Linked DNA regions of Notamacropus eugenii. The protein of the gene in region 2 purifies or fractionates together with the protein of the main gene of each other region. This does not show direct contact. Links are inferred from orthologs where the notes say so. Each region holds a gene or a part of one and is shown on either strand. Other genes may lie near its edges.

What was found.
Region 1: the proteins of RNF114 (region 2) and PARP12 purify together in Homo sapiens (affinity purification with mass spectrometry; 3 studies listed by BioGRID and IntAct, counting the BioPlex papers as one, with this or other methods). This does not show direct contact. The link is inferred for Notamacropus eugenii from reciprocal best matches to the Homo sapiens genes RNF114 and PARP12.

Annotation. Positions count from the first base shown.
Region 1 is NC_092874.1:108,950,008-108,958,036, reverse strand, and holds the start of PARP12 (protein mono-ADP-ribosyltransferase PARP12), read right to left. Parts: upstream 3,326-8,029; 5' UTR 3,236-3,325; coding exon 2,847-3,235; intron 2,496-2,846; exon of another isoform or gene 2,446-2,495; coding exon of another isoform or gene 2,369-2,445; intron 1-2,368.
Region 2 is NC_092872.1:517,084,611-517,092,244, forward strand, and holds the start of RNF114 (E3 ubiquitin-protein ligase RNF114), read right to left. Parts: upstream 3,248-7,634; 5' UTR 3,135-3,247; coding exon 3,013-3,134; intron 1,077-3,012; coding exon 926-1,076; intron 1-925. UniProt on the Homo sapiens protein: E3 ubiquitin-protein ligase that promotes the ubiquitination of various substrates. In turn, participates in the regulation of many biological processes including cell cycle, apoptosis, osteoclastogenesis as well as innate or adaptive immunity.

The DNA of each region.
Region 1 (8,029 bases), on a different chromosome or scaffold from region 2:
TGACAACTCTACAGTGTCTTTTTACTCAAAACACTCATATCACTGCCCTCGTCTGCCAAAAGACAAAGCATTGTTACAAGGAAGGAGAGATAGGAAAAATCTGAAGGTCTTTTATTCTTTGAGGGAGAGGAGTTTTTTTAAGCTACAAAATTCCACCCAATGCCAAAATACCCTTACTAAAAATAACTCATTCATACAGTACTTTAAAGGACTCCCTGCCACGTCCCCAATTTGGTGAAATAAATTGTCAAAAGTCCTCGCCTCAGACTACACAAACAACTGCCAAGATGATAAGGATCTTTAAATCAGCCATGACCAGGAAACATCTGGGAATTTGCCAAAGGTCAACCTGTAATCTACATTTTTCTCTAATGTGATCATTTTTCCAACTCGCACAGGATTCCCACTGGTCTGGCAGTCCTTGTGAACTAATATCTTGGTAGTTGAACGATCAAGTGTTTATTAACAACCTAATCACGGATCCAGGAAATGGATTCTAATGACGGAAACATGAAGGACACACATGTATGTATACATACAGAATATACATGGATACACAAACATGTGGGCATGTGTGTATGCATATATACATATACACCCACAACATAGAGCTTCAATACAAATAAATGCAAAGTAGTTAAACATAAGGCAATCTGAGGGGAGAGCACCAGCGCTTGAGGGGATGCTGAAGGTGTCTGAGCTGCGTCTTGAAGGAAGCTGGGAATTCTGTGAAGTAGAGATGAGGAGAGAGTGGACTTCAGGTATGGGAGACAGCCACTACATAGGAGATGGAGTGTCTTGCATGAGAAACCAAGAGAAGGCCAGTTTGGCCTGACCAGAGTACACAAAAGTCAGGAATGAATAATGATGCAGGACAGAGAGGTGGGAACATGGTTATAAAAGACTTTATGGTTTATTCTGGAGACTATAAGGAACTGCTGGACTTTACTGAGCAAAGGAGAAACTTGGTGAGATTTCAGCTTAATGAAAATCATTTTTTTGCATTTGTTGTTGTAAAGATAACTGGAAAGGAAATCAGGAGAACCGGGGGCCTGACTCTGCCACTTTGTGATCTGGGGAAATTCCCTTGGAATTATTAATCACAGACTCATTAAAGCTGAAAATAATCTGACAGGTCAGTGTTCCCAAACTATACTATAGATCGCCCACATTCCAGATCAATCAATAAGCTTTTTTCGGGGGGAGGAAGCAATCAGGGCTTCAAGACTTGCCCAGGGTCTTACAGTTAATAAGCGTCTAAGGCTCCATTTGAACTCTGGTCAGCCTGACTCTGGTGCTCTATCCACTTTGGCACCTAGCTGCCCCCATCAACAAGCATTTAAGTAGGTACTCTGAGCCAGAAACTGGGTTAGGTACTGGATAAAAAGGGAAAAAAATGAACCCACAGGTCGGACACAGCCAGAAGATAGAGCCACCATACTGGAGCTAGCACCAGTCTCTCCCTGACATCAACAGGGAGAATGATACCATTCATCCAGGTTCCCTTCCATGATAGATATGACTGAAAAGAGGAGAGGAAGAGGAGTCTTTAGCTACCTGGCATGTGCCAGCCTGCCACAGAAATGAGAGATGGGGGGCCGGAACAATCCCACAACCAGGCGTGGACTGGGGCAATCTGAGCAAGTGAGAAAGACAGACACAAACAGAAAGACAGATGAGTCAGTCTAGACAGAAAGGCATCATCCAGGCCTTGGAGGTCTGCTGGCAAGGAGGGATGGGAGGAGGGTGTACAAGGGATAGAGAATGATCCAAACAACTCTTCACTCCCTCCTTCCTGAGGGGCCAGGGAGGAGCCCCAGCTCCCACACCACCATGATGGCTCGGCTTCTCTGACAAGGACACGCCCCTTCTCCGCTGGGCCCTGCTCCTCTCTCAGTCCCTACCACCTACACCCCAAGTCTCTCCCCTGTCGTCCGCCATCCTTCCTGGCCAAGGGCAGTCCCAGCTTTAATAACAGGCTGGCTTCGATCTGGATACCAAGGCGGGGGCGGGCCTGGCACGAAGCGGGCACGGTACGCAAAAGCAGCATTACTACAGACAAATTGGGAAGTTCGTGGCTGGCTTCCAGGAGCGGGGCGGGCCGGGCCCACGGGGTCCTCAGGTCACGAAGGAGGAAGTCACGAAGGGAGCAAACCCAACGAGGCTGGGCTCGGGCTCTCCGGGCTCCAGGGCCGCACCTCCAGCTCGCTCCGGCAGCGGCTCACCTCGGGGAACACCTTTCCCACCTCTCCGGAGCACGTGGACAAGCTGCCCCGCCCTGGCGGCCCGGGCCTCAGTTTCCTCATCCGCACAACCAAGTGACGGCGGAGCCGGCCCGGCCGCAGCCCCCGCCCTGGCGTCCTCTCACCTAGCGCTCCCCCGAGCCGTGAGGACCGTGCCGCGAGCGGCCGCGGTCACGGCCCGGCCCGGCCCGACCCCCTCCATAGGGCGCCACAGCGCCCCACTGAGGCCGACTGAACGGCAGGAAGGTTAGAAGTACGGCGGGGGGGGGGGGGGGAAGGGAAGGAAAGGGGGCGGGGCCCACCGCCCCACGGCCCCGCGCGGGAGGACGCGGGATAGCGGGTGGTCACGCGACGCATTTAAAGGGGCGAGCGGCTGGAGCTTCTGACGGACCGGGTCAGCCCGGCCTCGGCTGGGAGACTGAACGGGCCCCCGGCCCTCTGGCCTCGACCTCCCCGTCGGTGGGACGCTAGAACGGCAGCGCCGGCCTCGAAGGAGGATGGAGGAGGGGGCCCGGGGGCCGAGGCCGGAGACGCGCGGCTGTGACCCCGGGAATGGCCCCCCTCCCCCGGGGCCCTCACACGCCGAGCCGGCGGGACCCTCACCCGCTGCTCGAGAACTTGCAGCTTCCGTAGACGAAGAACTTGCAGAGGTGCAGTTTCCCGCACTGCCCGCGGCAAGCGGCCGAGTAGGCGGGGCACAGCCTGGCGCCGGTGGCGGCCACGAGCACCCGCTTCTCCGGGGCCCCGCCGCCGGCGCCCCCGGCTTCCCCCGCGCCGCCCCCGGCTTCCCCGCCGCCGCCGCCGCCGCCGCCGCCGCCGCCCCCGCGCTTTCCCAGCACGAAGCGCCCCGGGGCCAGTTTGCGCAGCGACTTCTCCAGAGCATCCTCGCTAACGCCGCCCGGGAGCCGGTGACTCAGCTCCGCCAGCCCCAGGCTGCCCCCGGCCGCGCACAGGTCCTTGGTGACCAGGCTGGCCATGGCGGCCTGCGCCATGGCAGGGCGCGCTCGCTCGCTCCGCGGACCCCAGCCGCAGCCGGAGCGCGCCCCTCCCCGCCTCGGTTCGCCTCGTACCGGAAGCGGGGGCGTGCCCGGAACCGGCTGGGGAAGGGCGGGGCCAGCCCCAAATCGAAACTGAAGGCGGCCCCCGGACGGAAAACTAAACTTGCCCCCGCCCCGCTCGGGCGGGGGAGCCCCGGGAGACCCCGTAGGTCAGTGAGCGGGGTCAGGATGAACATATTATAACAATTCTGCAGGCAGGCTATGGCCCCCTCCCCCACACACTGAACTTCCCAAGCGGCCCTGACCTTCCCCCGAGGCTCCCCCCAGTCTTGGCCCCTGGCCCAGCCTTCCCGGCCGGTCACCTCCAGACTGCCCCAAGCCACTCCCCACTCCCCTTCTGTCAGGCCAGACAAATAGTGTTTAAACGACACTTTAGTGAATTCATGTAGAACCAAGGTTTGATAAGCTGGGATTTGACGTGAAGAGGAGGTCTGTGTCTTCTCGAAAGTGGGGCGATGACTGAGCAGCTGGGGGGGGGGGGGGGGACGGGGCGCGGGTCCCGGCGCCGGGAACGCCCGGGTTCCAGGCTGGCCTCGGACGCTTGCTCGCTGCGCGACCCCTTAGGACTGTTGGCCTCCACTTCCCTCGGCCGTCGGACGAGCCAGAAGAGGAAGCGCTGAGCCAGGGTCTTGACCAGGAGAACCCCAGAGGGGGTCGCCAGAGACTCAGAAGCGGTGACAGAGATGGAGCTGCGTTGGCTCGGGGACTCACCGCCCCCAGCTGCCCTCGTCCATCGGTGCTGGGGCAGGTGGATGGTGGGGTGAAGGCGAGCCAGCCCCTCCCTGTGACCTCCGTACCCATGCCTGCAAGTGCTGACCTCCAGCGATCCGCCTGTGCGCAGAACAAAGCCCTCGGAATTCTCTGCCCTGAGCGGCGTCCATGGGGTGACAAGCCCGCAGACTTCTCCTTTCAGTCCTACGTGCAGCCTCCGCAGCCAGGTTACTTGCTTCTAGAGGATTTGACGTTTTAGGCTTAAAAGTGACTTGAGCGCAGAGCCTTCCTTCACTTGCTTGATAAGGTCTGACCAATTATCTGGAAGCTCTAGTCCGTTTTTACATTTCTTAAAATTTCCAATCCATTCTTTTTAAAAAGCAGATAGAGATGGATGGATAGAAGGGTTTGGTGGCCACCCTGTTATTTAAAATGTTACCGGCTTCCCTCTCAGCGTTTTTGTGACCTCAGTTAAAACTCTCCAAAGGGCATCTACCTTACCATTTCCCCTTGATTACGATGTCCTTCTAATTCTTGAGGGACCGATTCCGGACGGGCTCTTTTTTTCTTATTTTTGGTTTCCTGTGCAACAGCTGTCACTGGGGAGAAGCTCATTTAAATTACTGTCCGTGTTTTCATCCCTGTTACAGTCCCTAGCACTAACCTTTACCATGTCTCTAAACAAAACCTCACTATTCCTGTTCTTACCCCAAATCTAACCTTAATTCTCTAGCCCTCATCTCTCTCCCTATTAGTTAACAATAATCATACCCTTGCTTTAAGTAAAGTATATATGTATGTATACATATATGTGTATATATTTGTATGGAAACAACAGAACATACAAGTCGCGCGGCTTAATTAGCGATGATACTAAGCATCACTATCACTAAACAAGCAGGAATCCTCTTACATGGGCATAAAGGAAGATGGAGCAGGCAGGGCTACTACACCTCTTTACAGGATAGCCCCCTAGTGGCTGCCACTGTCTTTGGGTTCGCCAACTCCATCTATGGGTTGTAAATTGGAGCAGAACACAGTTCCTTGTTTGTGCTTCTTGTATTTAGGAAGACCTGACTTGAAATGCAACCTCAGACACTTCCTAGCTGTGTGACCCAGGGCAAGTCACTTGAGAACCTCATTGCTTTAGTTCCCTCAGCTATAATATGGGCGTAATAACACCACCCACCTCACAGGGTTGTGGAGAGAATAATTCACCTAATTATCACAAATGAGGTATTTGCAAAGCACCTAGCACAGTGCCTGGCACAAAGTACGTGCTCTATGAATGCTTATAGCCTCCCTCTTAAATAATGCAGAATATTATGAGGGCCAGCTCTTGATGTGAGACAAAGGTGGAAGAGATAAGAGCAGAAGGCATCTGGGTGATGTGATATAAGGAGGTGATAAGAGGGAGGTCTTAGATAGTGGTCTCATTTTTTGTCAGTAAACTGAGGCAAAGTTCTTAACTGAGGGGGCTGGGGAGCCGTGGGGGTTTTGAGGAGGGATGAAAGGTCTGGAAGAACCACTATGGTGAATGAGATAAAGAGTTAACTAAGGTATATGAAAAGATTGCCTAGAAGCAGGGATGATTCTGTTGAGGTAACATAAAGGTGAGTCTCCTGTGTACAAGTCTTTGACTTCTTTTACTACTTTTTTTTGAACCACATAGTCGTAGTTGAGTCCTTTCAGTCATGTCTGACTCTTCCTGACCCCATTTGGGGTTTTCTTGGCAAAGACATTGGAGTGTTTTGCCATTTCTTTCTCCAGCTCACTTTACAGATGAAGAAACTGAGACAAACAGGGTTAAGTGACTTGCCCGGGGTCACACGGCTAGTAAAATTCCTAAGGCCAGATTTGAACTCAGGAAGATGTCTTTCTTGACTCCAGACTGGGCACTGTATCAACTGTACCACCTAGCTGCCCTCCTGAACCATGCTGTCCATGTATTACTCAACACCCTCACCTTCTCCCCAACTTTGCTTTGAAATTACTAAGTATCAGAATTTTTGGGATTTGGAGGTTCTTATCCAACTCTTCAAAGAATTTATCATTTCATCCTCTTCATCTGACATTGGCGTATAGACTGAAGTTATTTTAATGATGGTCTTTTAACAAACAGAACTGCAATCAGAGATGACCAAATAGCCCCATGAACCAGTGTTTCTCTTTGCCTTTCAACTGTCAACTCCTTTCCTTGCCTCTCTAAGACTACCTGTAAACAACCTCCCAATTAGCTGTGACTTCTTTCTTTTGGTTTTGTTAACAGCAATGATGTTGATTGGTATCATTTAGCTCTTCCAGCAGTACATCTGCTTATTGGCCACCAAGCAGAGATGTTAATACTTAGAATACCATTTTTCTTGTTTTTTTTTTTCAATAGGGACATAGAGAGGTAGGAGACAATACAGATCTTCATGAAAACAAAATTGAGTAAAAAAACAACTATGTGATTCTTAGTACCCTTTATGCCCTTCCCCTCTATCCTGCCACTGTCACTGGGTGGATGTGGAAGAGGACCATAAAGGATGGAGGGAAATTATGCATTTTAATGTGTTGCATGTGTTCCAAGAATTCATGAGCCTCCTTGGTACTTGGATCCCTGAAAAGCAAAGCTGATCTATTCCAAGGAGTGTGACCAAAGCTTTTCCAACAGGGTAAAACCTGCCAGAGCTAAGGCTGTGTTGACATAGTCTTGGAGAATCCAGGATCATTCCATGTAGTGACAAGGCATTAGAGTAGAATTTTGTGGATTTAGTTAATTAAAATATTCTCCCTATAATGATTTTGTGTAGTTTATCAAAATAACAACTGTTATTTTGTTATTCCTTTAGAGTATTTACAAAAGTCACCAACTAATTATTGAAATTTGAGATTCCTTTTGGGTTTCATAATCTGATAATCTTCATGCATCCATGCATCTATTCCTCTCATTCAACATGCTAGGCATGCTAGGCACAGTGCATATGAATTACAAAGACAAAAATGAATTAGTCCTTGACTTCAAGGAGCCTGTATTCTATTTAGAGAAAAAATGTGCATAGAAAATTAAATAGAAAGTCTATAAAAAGTAATTTCTGGGAAGCAGGCCCTTACAAATGGTTTCATTTTAGAGGGGGTACTTGAACTGAGCTTTGAAGAAGACAGGGATCCATGATGTGGAAATGAGGAGAAGGTGAATTCCAGGATGGAGGAACAATCTGTGAAAAAGCATGGAAAAACTATGCCCAAAGGGCTATGAAACCATGCAATGGTTTTGACCCAGCAATACCAACAACTAGGCCTGTATCTCAAAAGGATTTGTTTTAAAAAGGAAAAAGACTCATATGTACAAAAATATTTATAGCACTTCTTTTAGTGGTGAAAAAGAATTGGTAATTGAGATGTCCGTCAACTGACAAATGGTTAAACAAGTTATGGTATACTATAAGAATTGATGAACAGAATGCTCTCAGAAAAACGTGGAAAGACAGGAACTGATGCAAAGTGAAATGAGCATAACATTGAACTCAGAAACAGTAGTGTTGTACAGTGATCAACTGTGAATAACTTAGCTATTCTCAGCAATGCAATGATCCAAGACAATTCCAAAGGATTTAAGATGAAAAATGCTATTCATCTTCAGAGACTGATGGAGTCTGAATGCAGATTGAAGCTTACTTTTTTCTTTATCTTTCTTAGTTGTGTTTTCTTTCACAACATGACTAATACAGAAATGTATTTTGCATGGCTGAACATGCATAACCTATCAAATTGCTTGCTTTCTCAACGAAGGGTGAGGAGAGGAAGAAGAGAGAATTGGGAACTCAAAGTTTTATAAAACAAATCTTAATTATTTTTGCATGTAATTGGCAGAAAATAAAACATTGAATAAACTTTTTTTTAAAGTGAAAAGGCATGAAAAAGAATGAGTATAATGCACAGTGAACAAAAGAGAAAGGTTGGTTGGTTAAAATGGCGCTCAGAGCACATCCAGCGGGGTAATGGGCAAAAATCTTTGGAAGGTCAGATGGACCC
Region 2 (7,634 bases):
TCTGTCAAGGACACTATCATCTTCCCAACCTAGGAGTCATCCTCAACTCTTTACTGTCTCTCACCCCACATATGCAATCTGTTGCCAAGGTCTGTTGATTTCGCCTCCGTAATATTTCTTGAACACATATGGTATGGTTCTGTCCTCTGATATTACCATCGCCCTGGGGCAGACACTTATCATTTCACATCTGCACTACTGTTAATAGCCTGCTGGTTAGTCTGCCTGCCTCAAGTCTCTCCTCACTCCAATCCATCCTCCCACTACAGTGACTTTCTTAAAGCAAATATCCAACCATATCACTTCCTTACTCAATAAACTCCATTGCCTCCCTATAACCTCCAGGATCAAATACAAAATCTTGTTTGGCATTCAAAGTTCATCATAACCCCTAGCTTTTCAGTCTTTTTACATCTTACTCTTCAACATGTAACATACTCTTAGATCTAGTGACACTGGCCTTCTGACTATTTCATTCAATTTCTGTGCCTTCCTTTTTCTAATTGTTTACTTTTCATGGTATCTATAGCTTGTCTGTACCTAACTGTTTGCATGTTTCCTCCTCTATTAGGTTGTGAACTCCTTAAGGGCTGAGATTGTCTTTTCCCTCTTTTTTGTATCCCAAGAGCCTAGCATATAGGTGCTTAATAAAAGTTTATTGAATGACCTGTTAATTCAACCTCTTTGACCATTTAGTTTTCTTTCTCCTCATAAAATAGTGATAAAATTCTCATACTACCTAAAGCCACAGCACTGCAGAAAGGAAAGCACTATTAAATCATTAAGTGCCATATAAATATCAGATTTTATTATTGTTTAGCAGCACAGCAACCACTAAGAATAAATTCCCTCACTTATTTACCAAATGAACTTTACAAAGGCACAAGCGAAAAGTAGAATGCACCATCTTGATTACTGTACATACATTTTTTTTGCAGCCAATACAGGTTGCCTCTGTTGCTTCAATTTGCCTTTCTAAATCCACAGCTTTGGTTCCCGCAGACAGAGCACTTCGACAGACTCCACAAACAGGTTTCTTCGGTTTCAGACACTGCTGCAGGCAAACAGCACAAAAGCTAAAACAGAAACAAAATGATAGAATCGAGCACATTTAGGGTTAGGGTTGACAAGAGTTCACAGCAAGGAGGGCATTCTGCATGTGTCCTCATCAGACAACAGTGGTATGCCAACTAAGGAAGATCTGATGACAGAAAATTACTTGTTATGAACAATAAACACTCCATCAATGAATAGCAATTTATCCAATGTGGTGGATTTAAGACAAAGTATTTATAATAAAATTTACCAGAAAGCTTGCAATGGCAATGTATTACCCACAGCAGCCATCCTGATAACAAGTACATTCCACTTGTATCACTTGGTATGCTACCCAGTGTTCCCCATAATTACAACTGTCCCCAGGCTTATTAAAGCAGGATTAAGCTTTTGTGGAAAGGACACATTGGATTTGGATCTGCAATAATGACCAAACATGCTTATTGAACACATGTGTAGGCCATCAAAACAGTAATTTAAGTAGATACCTAATCCCAAGGAAACAATGAAAACAGAGACCAGTCAACAAAAAATTCTAACAATAATTTCAGTTGCATAGTACTTCACTTTCACTTCTATCTCATTGAATACTCACAACAATCCTGGAAAGTAGGAAGAGTTGGGGTCATTATGCCCATTTTTCATATGAGAAAGCTGAGGCTAAGAGAGAGAATCCAGCCTCCTCAAAAACACATAGATGAATTTGTGGCAGAAAGGGACTAGAATCCAAATCTTCTGATTCACAGCCCTGTGTAATTTCTACTGTAGCAAACTACCTCTTCAAATTAACACAAAATTGTGTTCCAAAATCTTCAGTCCTTGTAAGGAGGTACAGACCACATCCCAAATGTTACCTGGCATGTGGATGATTATAAAATGATTTTAAAATCACATCCAACTAATGTCATGTTAATTTCACTGGTCTTTTTAAACAGTTTCTGTTTCGCTTTAGGCCTTCAGTTTCACTTTCCTACCATTTCTTCTCCCAGGCTCAGTACTGATGCCCCACCCACTTTTTCTATTTTGAATGCTTCAGTTAATCTTGACTCTTGGATATTAAACTAGTAGTATCCTAGGCACCAAAGTCATTGACATCCATCATAAGCATCCAAACAGGGGTTAGGAAAAGGGAAATAAACGTCACGTCCTTTGTGTCAAAGTTAAAAGTTCGAGGGCATAGAATCCGCCCGAGTTAACAACCACATTTCAAAGGGCAGTTTGGTGACTTTCCCTGGTTAGGGTCGAGTAGAAAGCACACTTAGCTCACCGGAGTTCACTTTATCAACTTGACAAAAAGCCCCTCACCGCCTCCTGTCTGTTTCCCTCTCCTCTCCTCCTTCCACATTTCTTTTCATAGAATCACAGACTATTTCTGCTCAGCATTTCATCACTCCCTTTTCTCTCTCCCCTTAACCTCGGTCTACTTCAATGCCCACCCCAATGGGGCGACAGCCAGCCACCCCCTTTCCCCTTTTCTTCAGACCTCCTCTCTCACCCCCAGTTCTCTTCCCTCAAACCCCGCTCCCTCTCCTACGTCCGAGGTGCACCTCCACCCCGCAGGATTTCCCTCTGCCCCGAACCACAAGATCATCCTTTTAGACCTCAAGTTTCTAGATGTCATTGAGTTCATTCCACTCCTTTTACGGATGAAGAAAGGGGGACCCACAGAAGTTAACTTGACTTCACCCCAAGGTCACACAGCTGGGAAGGTCTGACCCTAAGTCCCCCTTCCCCTCCCCCCGACCTGGGTCCCACCATTTAATCTTCACTCCCTTTCTCTCAACGGTCCTCCCTCGCCTCTCTCGGACCCCGGCCCCCAGGCTCTCGCACTCCCTCCCGCCCTCCTCAGGGTCTGTCTCTCCGCTCACAACTCGCTCAAAGTAGCCCCCAGCCTCAGCCAGAGCCCCGGGCCCGCTCCAAGGGCAGTCACCTCCCTTCAGCCCCCTCCCCGCTTACATGTGTCCGCAGGGCGCCCGCTCCGGCTTCTCGTACACCTCCAGGCACACCGGGCACGTGAAGCTGGACAGGGTGTTCGCCGCCGCCACCCCAAACAGCTCCGCGCCACCACCCAGCGCCATCTTGTCCTCCCCCAGCGCTCCTCAGAGAACAGAGCGACGGCGGCCGGGAAGTGGGAGCGAGGAGGGGGCGGGGAGGAGGAGGAGAAAGGGGAGGGACGAGGAGGGGGCGGGGATAGGGGCGGGGATAGGGATGGCAGGGCGGTGATAGGGGTTTAGGGGCGGGGACAGGGGCGGAGGGGCGGGGACGGGAGCGGGGGTGGGGGGGGGCGGGGATAGGGATGGCAGGGCGGTAATAGAGGTTTAGGGGCGCGGACAGGGGCGGAGGGGCGGGGACGGGAGCGGGGTGGGCGGGGATAGGGGCGGAGGGGCGGGGAGGGGCGGGGATAGGGGCGGAGGGGCGGGGACGGGAGTGGGGGGGCGGGGATAGGGGCTGAGGGGCGGGGGAGAGGGAAGAGGAGGAAGAATGTGGAGCAATCATAATCCTAATCAATCATCATTTTATACAGTGTGTCCCAAAAGCCTCAGTGCAGTTTTACACTTCGGTGGCTTGAAGTTTCAGCGTCAGTGACTTACAGCTGCTCTGACTTCTGGGACACTACAGAGTGCACACATGGTCTCCTTTTATTCTTAGGTATTATTATCCCCATTTTACAGACGAGGAAACAGGTTAAAATGACTTTCCCGGGGCCAGGTTTCTGTCCAGTTCATCAGCTAGTGTGTAGGATAATGGCCAGAGGACGGCTTCCGAGCCAGGCAGAGCCGGGCTGGAGCCCTGCCCCGTCCAACAGCCTCTCTCCTGCTCTCCCGCTCAGCTCCGGCGTCCCCTCAGCACCTCCAGGAGCGGAGAAGATCCTCTGCGAGCCTTTGTTCAGAGCCCCTCACCCCCAGTGCTGAACGGGCGCGCACACACACACACACACACACACACACACACACACACACACACACACGCATACACATATACACACACGCATACACACATACACATACACAGACTCACACACACTCACATACACACACATACACACACACATACACATATACACACAGACACGCAGACACACATACACATTCACACATGCACATACACATACACACACTCACACACATACACACATTCACACACACGCGCACAGATACACAGACACACAGACACATACATACACACATACACATACACACACATTCACACACATACACACACACGTACACACACAGATACACAGACACACATACACATACATACACACATACACATACACACACATTCACACACTCATACATACACACACACAGACACATTCACACACACATACACACATTTCTCATTGTCTTAGACTACAAATCTTGTCCTCCCATACATATTCTGCAATCCACATGTTCCTCTTTGCTGTTCCCCTTGATTCTACTGCCTTCACTCTGTTGACTATTTCAAATTTATCTTATCTATTCATACTTGTTTTCATGTTGTCCCCTTCATTTGACAGTGATCTCCTTCAGGGCAGCGATTGTCTTTTACTTTTCTTCGTTTTACCACAATTAGCCTTGTTGACTGAATGACTGACATGTATATTCATATACTAGTGACCTAGCATCAATCATTTAATTTGTCAGTGTTTTAAGCAGTTCTCTGTGACTACAAGTTGCAGAGAAACTACTGACCTGCATTGTAGAGGGAGTTCTTCATTTGGGATTTTCCTATCCCAGTGAGATCACAGGCACAGTCCTTATCTCTATTTGATTGTTAGAACAATTTTCCTTACCTCAACAAATCTGGGTGATGCTTTTAACTTTTCAAGGGACACATTGGCTTATTTTGTCCCAATTTCTATTGGCGGGGTTATACCAGTGTTCTCAAATGTTTTGGTCTCAGAACCCCTTTATAGTCTTAAAAATTATTGAGGATCCTTCAGAGGTTTTATTTATATATTTATGTATTATAAAAATAGGGGATTATTATTTTGTCCCAATTTTGAAAAGAAGAAAGAGTATGGATTCTGCAGACTATAGGCTAGCAAGTTTGACTTTGATTCCTATGAAATTCTAGGAGGAATGACTAAAGACAGGGTTTGTGCAACTCTAGATAAGGAGAATACAAAAGAACCAGCATGGCTTCATTAAGAATAGATCATCCCAAACCAACCTTGTTTCCATGTTTTTTGATGGGATTACTAAACTAGTAGATGAGAGAAATGTAATGGACATAATTTACACCTTTATTTTAGAAAAGTGACAAAATATTTCATGCTATCCTTATTGAAAAGATGGAGAGATAAAGGCTAGATGAAAGTGCAAATACAAGGCTTCAGATGCAGTTAAATGGCTAAACTCAGAGAATAGTTCATTGTTCTATGTCAGCCTGGAAAGAGAGGGCCAAAGAAGTGCCATCTGTGATTGTATGTCATGTGTCATGTCCGTCTGTGACTGACCCCATGTTGTTTCACATTCTTATCGATGACTTGGTTAAAGGTGTAGGTGGCACAGTTATCAAATTTTCAAGTGACCTCCAAGTCAGGAGGTACAGCTAACTAACAAGATGGATGATGCCCAGATTCCAAAAAAATCTTGACAAGCAAGACAAATTGAAGATGAAATGTAATAGAGATAAAAGTAGATTTAGTCCAGCTTATGGATTTCAGAAATTAACTTCAAATAATCTATTTGAGAAATTAGTTTCTAAGATGTGGGAGACCTGGTTAGAGAGCAGTTTGGAAAAGATCACTGTTACAATTTCCCTGGTCTGTTGGGGGAATTGGAGTCTCCCCAGGAAGTGTCTCCCCTGGTCCCCAAGGCGTTGCCAGGGTGTAGCTGGAGCAGGGAAGGGGACAGGGGACATTCGAAGAAGCTAGAAGGGGAGCACCAGGGTGGGGCTGTGAAACAGAATAATTGAACCTGGGCACCACCTCTTAACAAAGCTGTGGAATGAAAACAATGGGGCTTTTTCTAGTCTCTAATACCCCCCTACAGAAACATCCAAGTCATTTCAAAAGTTATGAACATTGCTAAATGGCCTCAGAAGATGTGGATTGGTTACAAGATCTACTCATGTGCTGCCAAAACTTCGGTCCAGAAGTGATTTTCAAACAAACAATACAGCTGCTAAAAGAAAAATATTCCCAAAGGATCATGGACAGCCAACCTCTCCACAGATTTCCTCCTTCTTCCTCCTGAAACCATACCCAAAGAGATCACCCTGCAGAGCAACAGTTAACAAATTCCCAGACTGAAATGATCAGCACTTAGATGCTTCCCAAGAAAATGTACCAGTGAGGCCTACTGTGACAAATCCTGAAACCTAATACAAATTCACAGTTTCTCAAATGGAGAAGTCCCCATCTGCCTATCAGAAACAGCTGACAGAGGCTAATGTAGAGGAGAACTGGAAGTCTAAGACATCATCACATTTACAGAAAATCCTTAACCTGACTTTCCTGGAGGAAGTTTTGGACCTTGTCAACTCAAAGTTTATCATCCACAAAGTATACAGTGTTGGTAAGCAAGGACCTGTCAATCTTATGGATAAATTCAAAGAATTTCCTTTTTGGGTACTCTATCAACCATGAAATGCTTAGCAAATTGCCCTAGTTGTTCAAACTTCAAGCAGTGCATGTATTCAGATTTGAAAAATGTCTTTAAATCTACAGTAGATAATTAATATGTCTCTTAAAGGAACATCTGCTCATGCTTCAGATTTTTGATGCCTTTGTCAGTGTACTGGATTTGTTACGGAAACAGAAAATTGTTATTGAAGCATGTCAGATTTACTGTCTCATCCTACCTTCTGAAAATCAGAGGAAGTTACAATTGTTGATGAGGATGATGTTGAAGATCTGTTTAAAAGAGAAGATGCCACAGTTCTATGATGGCCTTGGCGCCCATACTCTCATGGTTCAGACTTTTCCACATTGCATCCTGTTCTTCAAGGATGAAGTAGATTTGGATGACCTATTAGCTTCTAGGCTAGTGACATTTCTGATGGACAAGCTTCAGGAGATCTTGCAAGTTCTCTCTTCCTTGAAGAATTTGGTAGAGGAGCAAGTAGTTCATCTAAAAGGGTCCAGATAAAGTACCCAGGAACAGATACTGATGTGACTCTGTCTGCAGATTAGTCCAGAAGAATTTTAATACCAAATCCCTGGTAATATCATTGAAGGAAATAATAATGGATATAAGTCAGTGAAGAATAGAATGAAACTAACAAACTAACTAAAGGAGTTCCAGAAATTCTTTCCTAAGAGTCTATCAAGAATGATTTCCCACACCAGAAAGTGAAGCACTGGTATTTCCAGAAAATCAAGATTGAAACCACAGCTGCTGATGTGGGCTCTGAAAAAGCTTTTTCAGTCTTTTCAGCCTTTTCAAAGAACTAGACATTTTTGAATGTAACTAACTCTAAAGTCATTAGTAATCTGTTTTCGAGTGCATGGATTTAGTGGGAAGGAAATACACACATTTTGACTACTAATATGTATAAAAAAGGTTATCTGAATTTTTAAAAACTGTTGAGTCATGATCAGTATTTTCATAAGGTCTTTATTTCTTTTTCATATACACTTAGAT